2 linked regions of the Arabidopsis thaliana genome follow. The protein of the gene in region 2 interacts with the protein of the main gene of each other region in a pairwise test. Each region holds a gene or a part of one and is shown on either strand. Other genes may lie near its edges.

Region 1 (5,420 bases), 1.5 Mb from region 2:
ACAATAATGGGACAACATCTGACGATGTGATCAAGATCATCTACTAAACCAAAAATGCAGCCATAGTTAACAATAACCAAACTCTTTTGAATTGTTTATTTGTACGAACATTGAAAAGCAAAACGATCATGGATCATGGTGATTTTTGGAATCAAGATTTAGGACGTTTTTTGTTTGCTTCTCTCTTTGATCTTCTCTCCCTTGAACTTAGAGAAGTCTTGAACCCAACTTCGTTCTCCGAGTCGTACACATCTTTAAACGATTTCTGCACACACACACTTGATTTTTTCTTAAAATTATATGTAAAAGATCAAAAATGTTGAGAATAAGGAGTAGTTTCATAACAGTGAACCTCTCTGATCTCGGCAAAGCTAACGGCATAGAATGTTACGACCGAGACTGCGACGATTCCAAGAACAGGGAGTGCGATATGGCTTATCCCTTCCATTTTCTTCTCTTCTTCTCAGAACCAAACTTTCAGGATAAGGCTCTTGAGGATAATAATATCTCTTTATATAGATAGCATCTGAATTCAACTCTTTTTTTTCACTTATCCTTTTAAAGAATCAAGATTAGCTTATGTCCAAACAATATTATATGGACAAGAGAGAAAGCTTTAGTAAATATCAATCAACATCTCTAAAATGGTTTTTGTTCTCATTACTGAGTAAAGAAGAAGAAGAGGAAGAAGAAGAAGAAGAGTAACTATTAGTTTCTGGGATACAACTTAAAGCTGGTAAAGACTTCTATTAATAATACAAATCAAACCCTAAGAAAGAATCACAAAATCAAACCCTATGATGATTACAGGAAAAGGTGCAAGTTCAAGTGAACAGATTCTCCGAATAACCGCCTTCGTAACTCGCTTCCTTTTCCCCTTTGAATATCTCAGCATCATCGAAACCTGTTACGCATTTCATTCAAAACACCTTTTAAACAACTTCTCTCATGTTTGTCAAGATATTCACAAAAACTAGGTTCTGCAAAGCTTTTACCTGACCCCAAGTCTTCTGTTTCGTCGATAACAACAGCTACTTCTTCTGACCTCTTAATGAACTCGAGTGACTTCCAGTCTGAGCTTCCATTTCCTTCTATACAAACTTGGTTTCTCGAAACCCAGTCTTCAAGAACTTCCATGTTGCTGTGTGATAACGGGTCTACCGTGTCATCTCCGCTGCTTTCGCTGCCACTAGAGGAAACAGACAGAGAATCCTTTTAAGTTCTGTTTTGAACAAAAGACAGTATAGTAATCAAGAAGATCAAAAGATTCCAACTTACATTCGTCTGAGGCGCATGTTGTACTGAACAAATACAAGATCGTTGAGCCGTTGTCGCTCAATAGAGTTCTTTGATTCATATATTTGCGAGATTGATGTCAGGTTTCTCACTGAGCCAATAGATGAGCTGCATGTCTGACTCAGAATACGTATCGCAAAACGTGACAGGTTCAAGCAGCTTTCTCCATATGTAGACCACCATTCAGCTACAGGAATCAAACATGTTTTAACTACTTACAAAACACTTGAACATATGAAATCTTTTTGAGATTCAATTAATAAATGGCGTACCTGGAAGCATTGTGTCACGAGCTCTGATAGCTAAGTTCCTTCCGAAAATCCCAACAGCATTCTTGTATGAGTTTATGTCCTTAATGACAATATCTTGAATGTTGACATCAGGGACTAATTTCTCTATGCAATCAACAACCGCTAAATGGATCTCACTACGCATTTCTTCGTCGATGCTATAGAAGAACTTTGGGTTCAAATAGAAACCAGCAGCATACAAAGGTTGCTGCAACCACCACCTATCTATAATTTTCCAGTACACTATGTACTCCTCCCTGTGAGCCAGATTTGTCTTAATTGCTTCTTTTGCTCGATACATTGCTGCATAGACATACCCCATTGCAGGCTTCCTTTCAGAACAAACTATCCTCAAAACACGCAAAATCGGAGCAGTTATATGGTTCGCCAATGTTAATGCCTTCCAGAAGTCCTCATCATTGATAGTCTCAGTCATTGCTAATCCACCTGCTTCCTTCGAATACGAACAATCATTCCACTCGGATGATGTAACCATTGCTTGCAAATAAGGTTTTAGATCAGCAATTCTTCCCATTGTTGTAAAATTTGTAGCGGAACTGGTACAGACTGGTTGCACAATATCATTGCCAAAAGTGAATTTCCTCATCAGATTCAAAACACCACTGTGATTGTAAATAATTCTTGTAACAGTTCGAGCTTGTTCGATAATCTCTCTTATCCAATCCATCTTCCCAAACTCTTCAAGCATCTTGTCTATGCAATGTGCAGCACAAGGAACCCAGTATAGAGAAGGATACACATCCATCAACTTTTTCCCAGCAGCTGCGTAATGATCTTCACATTTGGTAATAACTTGAACAACATTAGTATCACCTATCTCTTCAACTACCTCCTTAAGTAACTCATACAACTTATCCTCAGAATCTAATATCTCTGATGCATCAACTGATTTCAGAAACACTACTTTCTCAGGACAGTAAACCAAAAACTTAAGGATCAAAGGTCCTTCGTTGGAGTTCAGTTCCTGAACTAAAACAGAACATCCTGTTCTCTTCCATAGAGTTTTGCACTCATCAATCTCTTTCTTCACTTCCTCTACACAACTCTTCAAAATCCAACCTCTGAGGTCTTCATGTGTAGGAATAGAAACACCAAATCCTCCAGAAACAATCGCATCGATAAACGGTTGAACATTGACAGAATTCGCCGCATCGAAATCAGCTCCAATATCAAACAGAAACCGTCCCATAGCCATATGAACTGTTTTCTCCCGCTCTTTCGAAGTAGGATGCACAATGTTCTTCACGCTACTAATAGCCACAGGAATCAAATTGTCCATATCTCGATCAACCTCAACATTAGCCAAATCATTCCTCTCAAAAGCATTATTCTTTCTACTCCTATAAGTCCTCTGCTTCGTCCTCCCAGTACTTTGACCCACTACGACATCCGAACTCGGCGATTTAAACCCGTTATTCACATCAGAAGAAGCAGCAACCTGAGTCTCAACTTCACAAGGAGGGAAATAAGCTATAGGCAATGGTTCAGGACTTGATTTACGTCTCTTCCTCTGACGTCTCACCGTACCATCAATACACTGCTGCAAGAAAAGACGAACCTCATCAGGAACTTGATCACAGATAGTGCCTTGTCCTTTCTTGCCAGCAAGATGTTCCTTAACCCTTGTAATACCACCTCCTTTAAACATCTTTCGACAGTAAAGACATCTCATCTGAACTCGATCTCCATATTTGTAAACTTCACAGTGTTTCCACGCACTGTCTTGTTTCTGTGGTGTTAGAGCTACAGGTTCCAAATCTGAATCCATCCTACAAAACCCTAGATCCTTCAATTAAACATTTACGAGATCAAACTTAGAAGAAGAATTCATCAGCTTTCATAAAAAAGCTCACAACTTTCGTAACAAAGATGTTAACTTTTCGTTGATTAGATAAAAATCGGATCATATTGAATCAAACCCGTCAAAGAAAAGCGAAATTCTAAAACCCAGTGCAGCAAAATCGTAAATTTCAGAGTTTTTGAATTATCGAAAGAACAGAGAACGAACCTTTTTTGGTTTGCAGGTTTGTGACCGGGTTGGTTACGGCAAGAAATCGGTTCGGTAAAAAACTTGATAAAATTACGGTATAAGGACTTCGGTTTTGGGGATGAAGAAGGTGGAATCGACCGGAGAAGAAGAGATTAAGGAACGCTGGAGAAGAATCTGAAGGCGACGGAGGAATGCAATGTCGGAGAAATTTTTGAGATGACCCGGCTCGTTAGGGTTCGAGAGGAGAAGAAGTTGGGCAGCTTTTCTGGTTTATAAAAACGACAAATTTTGTTTATTTTTTATTTTTTTTGTCTTGTTTTGGCTTAAACTTGTTTTTGTGGTTAAATCGGTTTTTAATTTAAGGACTAAAGTGATTATTTGTATAAAGTATAAGGTCTGATATGATGATAAGTGACTTCATGTGGGGTATCTTTTAATTTGTCTTTTCAAAGATAGAAATGATTTTGGGTCAAAAATATTGGATGAGATTGTAGAATCTAGAGATAATTATTGTTTTTCAAAGTCTTATCATAAATTAATTAAGGTAAAGTTGAATGATAAATTAAAAAGCAAAATGTGTTAATACTTCAAGAACATTTGTTATACTTCAAGACCAATCACAAGTGCTGACTCACATTACAATGATTGTTATGTTTTACTAGATTTGCTTCGGTATTAGTGTGAGGATGTGTTTTGTCAAAAAAAGCTTAGAACATGAACGGAGTTTAAAGAATACGGTTGAAGCAAGGGCTTGCATTGTTGCGTTCTATATCTCTGAAATTCGTTTATGTTTGCTAAACAGAAACCACAATGTGCATGTATAATAGATTATCAAAATGTTGAGAGACCTTGTTCTGTGATTCTTTCATTGTGATATTTTGTACAATGTTAGTTTCATTTTAAGAGTCACAAGTATTTGTACACAAATCAAAAATTTCACATAATAGTTTTCAATCTCGTATATTGCAACAGGTCTCTATGACTGAACAAGGAAAAAATCAACTAACACAAAGGCTATACAATACATGGCCACTCACACAATCGTAACAATCTCCTAACTTTTCAATCTAAACAGCAAGGTTAAAGAAAGATTCGACACCTATCTCGTTAAAAGTTAAAACACTCTATTTATAACACCATAACATCAACACGAAATCAAGTAATCAACAGTGACAACTCAAACATGCATCTAAGACTCTCTATATGCTCCTACAAGTAAAGAAAAGAGACTACAATGGCTCTAGGACTGACTACAATGGCTACAGGGAAAATGATTTGACAGAGAAACCCATTTCAATACTACTCCAACATCTCGAAATTGGAAACCAGAAGTGACCATCTTCAATAACCTTAAACAACATTTCCACAATGTAATCAATTCAGCTATTAAACCAGTGACAATATATAAAATGAGGCATCAATATAGCAAAAGATTATAAGTAAGAGACAAAATCCAGAATCAATTCCAAACCAAAAGGTCTTAAACAATGATCCAAATTCATTCTAGAACTAAACAAAAAGTAGATAGATAGATAAAAATCTCAAAGGTTCTTCTTCAGAACCTGAGCTTAGTAAAGAACCACCTGTTCTTCCCAGTCTTGAAACGTTCCTCAAGCTTAGCCTTAGCTTCCTTTAAAGCAGTCACCTTCTTATCCTTACTCTTAAGAGCATCAAGAGTCGCTACTTCCTTCAGATCTACATCGAGCGTGTAACGTGTAGGCATCAGATGCTGGTAATTCACGAGCTTGATGAAACATTTCACTCTTGATTTCTTCGCCGTCTTCTTCGCTGAGTCTTTGCGGATGACTTTGCTCGGGTACTTC
Region 2 (4,900 bases):
CTGCTTATCAACAAGATCAAAGACCTTGGTAAGGAGATTCTTAACTCATCCCCAGCTCAAGCCCCGTCTCGAGATTCTTAACTCGTCCCCAGTTCAAGCCCCGTCTCATTCCCCATCTCGATCAGGCTCGGGTTCGGGGACAGGATCCTCCTATAACCGGAGATTACCCGCACCAATGTAGTCACTTGTTTTTCCCGATCAAACAATCATCTATGATGTATATAGATAGATATGTAGGGGCATTGGATAAAATGTTCAGAGAGAGTTGAGCCCTTGTTACAAAGTTAGATACATATGATATGTAACATATCAAATCTGTAAGTTTCTTATTATTCCCTTTGTTATTCTGTAACAATAAAAACTGTTGTAATTGTTTGTAAAACTGTTGTTCTGTGTCTAGGCTGATCAGTCATTTACAGAAGCAAAATAGTTCTTTTGACCTCAAGTGTTATCTAGTCTCCTCAGCACAGTGAGATATTTTTCAGATTAATAATTGGTTAATTTCTCATCCCCACAAATGTTGTAAAGCTAAATGACTCGAGGTAAGATTCCTAACTTGTAAACTTAAGCCTTGAAAAGAATAAATCCACATGATTCGAGCATGTTTGTTCAAAAGAGTAAAAAACCGGTGACCATCAACAGATGATGAATAAACCGGACTAAACCATAAATATTCCATCATACATGAAGGATCAAGTAACATGGCATGATACAGCTTTAGATGACTAATTCATTGTGTGAGAGTACAATGCATATGATCCCAAGTTAACCTCTACTAGTAACTGTGAAAAATGGCTGTTACAAACGGGGATAGAAATTACATGGCCTAGGCTGAACCAGCGGGAACAGTAGCTGCATTGGAGCTAGGCTGAACCAAAGTGGCTGGAGTGGCACTCAGGCTCGGATCTTTTGACTCGGGTGCAACAATGGGAACTGTAGCTCCGGGTAGTGACAGAGGGGTTTTTGCAGCCGCATCTAGAGCGGGTATCTGATGCTGATTTGAGTTAGCCAAATCGTTTACGGCGTTGTGAAGTTGTTGTAGCCTGTAATCTGTCTCGGGCCGCCGACAAATCTTCCTCAAGGGAACGATTTCCTGCTGGGATAACGGAAAAGAAATCCAAAATAGGTGAGTGAGGAGGGTTTTGCTTTATGGTCTAAACCATGAAATGGAGCTGACGGGTAAATAAAACCGCAAGGGATAGAGAGAGAGAGAGAGAGATGATCGTCCAACCTCGGACTGGTCGTGGCTGTAACGCACCAAGAACCTACAACGACAACCTCTGACATCATGTCTTCTTCTCTGTGCGTCAAGAACAATGGCGTCAAAGTAAAGAGCTTGATCTTTTCCTTCCTGAAGATGTTATAACATAGTTCTAGTCAGGGATAAACTAACATGACACCTATCACTAAATGCTTAGAGAGCGAAGTTCTAAACCTGGAAACAAAGGACGAGATCTCCAGCAAGAACTGCAACACATTCTGATGCTTCACATGGGAGAGACCGTTGTCTTACATGCTTTTTGACATTTATCCATTCATCTTCTTCAACTTCGAAACCCGCAAATCGAACCTGCACTTCCTGAAATACCCAACAGAAAGATTGTTGTTAGCAAAACAAAAAAGGGGAACAAATAAGTCAACAAGAGGTTGGTTAGGAATTACCGGATCACCAATCTCCAAGTTTCTATGAGCTAGGAAAGCTTGCACATCATACCTGTAAGTAAGCAAGAGAGTTACATATCAGAGAAAACCAGTGGAATGTAATGATATTGTTACAAAGTATCATAAGTCAGCAAAAAAAATACTGAAGATTGAATGCAAGGGAATCACCATGCACCATCCCTGGCAGATTTGGCTTCAAATTCCAAGTAAGAGTTGTCTGAACCACTCCTCATGACACCGGGAACTATGAGGAAAAGCAGTAAACAGTTACGAAAATGGCATCTGTGCAATATCAGCCATACTGATCTAGACTTATGGAGAAAAAACTAAAACTGAAAAAACCAATGAAACCTATTCCAATAAATAACCTTCTCAACCTATTTTACTGAGAGTAGAATAAATAAAGCACCTAAACTACCAGAAGGGGCAGGCGTCATGCCGGGTAAATTTCCAGTCATATGAGTGGTTTTAGGAACTGATAATGGTTGAATCACACTTCTCATCTGATTTGGTAAATCCATACGCGGCATGGAAGATACATTTAGCTTCCCAGGAGCTTTGTTTCCCCTTGCTCGTAAAGCATATCGCCTATTTTGAAACCAGTTCCAGATCTGTGATGCATTAAAACAACATTCCCATTAACTTTTAAAAGCAAACCCAACAGACTCTGTCTGATAAAACTTAAGAATCAAGAAGGAAAAAGCCAGTACTTGCTTGAACTGCACAACAACTTTCCCCTTCCGCTCAGGTGATTCACTGAGACAACAGATAACAAAAAGTAACCACATTTTAGATGATAAAGACACAAAATCACTTTCAGGCCAAGGAATTGAGCAACAACAAGTAAAATACCTAAACTTATCAGCAAGAGCTTCAAGAATATGTCGACCTGGCATTGCTGTATTATGCTGTAGCAAAATTGCTTCCATCTCCGTTACCTTCATAACAATTGAAGATTAGCTATAACAAACAAGATAAAACCTCTTCAAAAGAAGTCACAAAACCATAGAACAACAGATAGATAGAAAAACTTATGTATTATCAAATCTAAACTCTTAAACATTACTTAATAAAGTAAAGCCAATGGATTTCAGAACATACATCGAATTGTCTTCAAGTTTCTACTAGCTAATTACAAAAATTCAATTGGACTTCAGGATCTAAACCCTATCATGAACCCAAAAAGAAGACCTAAATCCTAAGGAACAAAACCGACACAAAAATCAGATTTTTCAGCTCTGGGAGCTCAAAATCCGTGAAAGCAACACATTACAAAGAATCGAGATAAACCTCAGGCAGGATAAATCGAAACGCCGGACCGCCATTACTGGGAGGTCGACCCATGGTATCTTCTTCGTCTCACCGAAGAAAAAACAAAAATTGGCGGCAGAAAGTGAAATCAATCGGAGCTTCTCTCACTTAATATTCGAATTCACGGTGAATCTCTCTAGTACGGCCGGTGACCCAACGACAACGAAACCGGTTTTACTCAGACCCGACTCCGTCGCTTATATAACTTTTCACCTGTGTAATTTTTTTAAACTTAACATGTAGTAATGGGCTTTTAAAACCCATTAAAGGCCCATTTTCCTAAAACCGATACAAAAATCTTATCCGTATGGTCGAGTAAATCCAGCTTATCCGCCTGAAACTTATTTCTCAGTATCCAAAACGATGGCGAAGAAGACACTTCGCTGAAGCTTTTTTTTCCAAAAAAATTTCTTAGTGTCGTCAATGGCTTTGGCTCCACTTAATTTTACGGAAATGCCACTGAGAAGCTCTCTTCCTCTGACCTCTAGCTCTCGCTATTGTTCCTCTCCTTCGCTTCACGCATTGCTCTTCTATTCGTTGGGTGTGAAACCCTCGCGTCAACAAATTGTTCGGCCATTCTCTTCGCTGCGTACAAGCGAGCGTAGCAACAACAGGAGCAATAACAATCGTCGATTAGATCAACGTAATCATAAACCTACTCCTCCTTGGATAGATAAGTGGCCTCCGTCATCCTCCGGAGCTGGCGGTGATCATGCCGGGAAGAAAGGTGGTGAAAACAACGGCGGAGATAGAATTCGGTCTGCGGAGGAGGAAGCGGAAGCGAAACTTCGGTATTTGGAGAAGGATAAAGGACAAAACGCGATTGAGAGGATTGTTCTTCGGCTACGGAATTTAGGATTAGGTTCGGATGATGAGGACGATGTGGAAGATGACGAGGGAGGTGGAATTAACGGCGGAGATGTGAAGCCGGTGACTGGAGAAGAGAGATTGGGGGATTTGTTGAAGAGAGAGTGGGTGAGACCTGATATGATGCTTGCTGAGGGAGAAGAGAGTGAGGAAGAGGATGAGGTATTATTGCCATGGGAGAAAAATGAGGAAGAGCAGGCGGCGGAGAGAGTAGTAGGAGAAGGAGGAGTGGCGGTGATGCAGAAGAGGAGAGCTAGAGCTCCATCACTGGCGGAGCTCACCGTTGAGGATTCTGAGTTACGGCGGTTAAGGAGGGATGGAATGTATCTGAGGGTTAGGATCAATATACCAAAAGCTGGGCTAACGCAGGCAGTGATGGAGAAGATTTATGATACTTGGAGGAAAGAAGAGCTTGTGAGGCTAAAGTTCCACGAAGTGCTTGCTCGTGACATGAAGACGGCCCATGAGATTGTTGAGGTTCGTTAGTTCTCTTGAATACTTCATTGATTAGAACAGTAGGTTAGCGAAATTTGAGGTGCGAGATTATTCCAAGAGAGAGCGGTTTTCATTATCTATTGGGGATAAGCTTTGCGGAAGTGACATGATCTTTATAGGATAGTAAGAGACTCTGAAGTACCTAAGCTCTGAAATAGAATGGTTATAAAGCTTTTATAATAACAGTAGGAAATTTGTGAAAAACGTTAGATCTTTCTTGGGAACGATTATATAGTTGTGAATAAGGTGAATTTGAGGTGTTGATTAACTAGAGTGGATGGAGCTGAGCATGCTGTTAGAATTCTTTGAGTAACAAGACTGTGCAGGAGATGCATGTCTTAACTTTAGGTTTAAAAAAAAACTGATTGAATTACTCTAATGGGCAGCGTCGAACTGGTGGAATGGTGATATGGAGGGCCGGAAGTGTAATGGTGGTTTATCGTGGACTTGACTATAAAGGACCTCCTGTGATCTCTAATCAAATGGCCGGTCCTAAAGAGACTCTTTTTGTCCCAGATGTATCTTCTGCTGGCGATGAAGCAACAAATGCCAAAGATAACCAAAG

What was found. Proteins that work in one complex are often made in the same cells at the same time.
Region 1: the proteins of SHH2 (region 2) and AT3G22220 interact in a two-hybrid assay, tested with the Arabidopsis thaliana proteins (one large-scale study listed by BioGRID).

Annotation. Positions count from the first base shown.
Region 1 is NC_003074.8:7,838,984-7,844,403, forward strand, and holds AT3G22220 (hAT transposon superfamily), read right to left. Parts: upstream 3,892-5,420; 5' UTR 3,616-3,891; exon of another isoform or gene 3,377-3,615; 5' UTR 3,376-3,376; coding exon 1,569-3,375; intron 1,484-1,568; coding exon 1,279-1,483; intron 1,190-1,278; coding exon 996-1,189; intron 905-995; coding exon 825-904; 3' UTR 521-824; downstream 1-520. Other genes in the region: AT3G22210 (uncharacterized protein), read right to left, coding at 152-265, 353-448; AT3G22230 (Ribosomal L27e protein family), read right to left, coding at 5,153-5,420.
Region 2 is NC_003074.8:6,310,176-6,315,075, forward strand, and holds SHH2 (DNA-BINDING TRANSCRIPTION FACTOR 2), read right to left. Parts: upstream 3,232-4,900; 5' UTR 3,007-3,231; coding exon 2,953-3,006; intron 2,601-2,952; coding exon 2,515-2,600; intron 2,419-2,514; coding exon 2,373-2,418; intron 2,274-2,372; coding exon 2,072-2,273; intron 1,907-2,071; coding exon 1,831-1,906; intron 1,715-1,830; coding exon 1,663-1,714; intron 1,580-1,662; coding exon 1,436-1,579; intron 1,352-1,435; coding exon 1,232-1,351; intron 1,097-1,231; coding exon 827-1,096; 3' UTR 544-826; downstream 1-543. Other genes in the region: ATSYTF (C2 domain-containing protein), read left to right, coding at 1-81; EMB1865 (CRS1 / YhbY (CRM) domain-containing protein), read left to right, coding at 3,397-4,317, 4,722-4,900.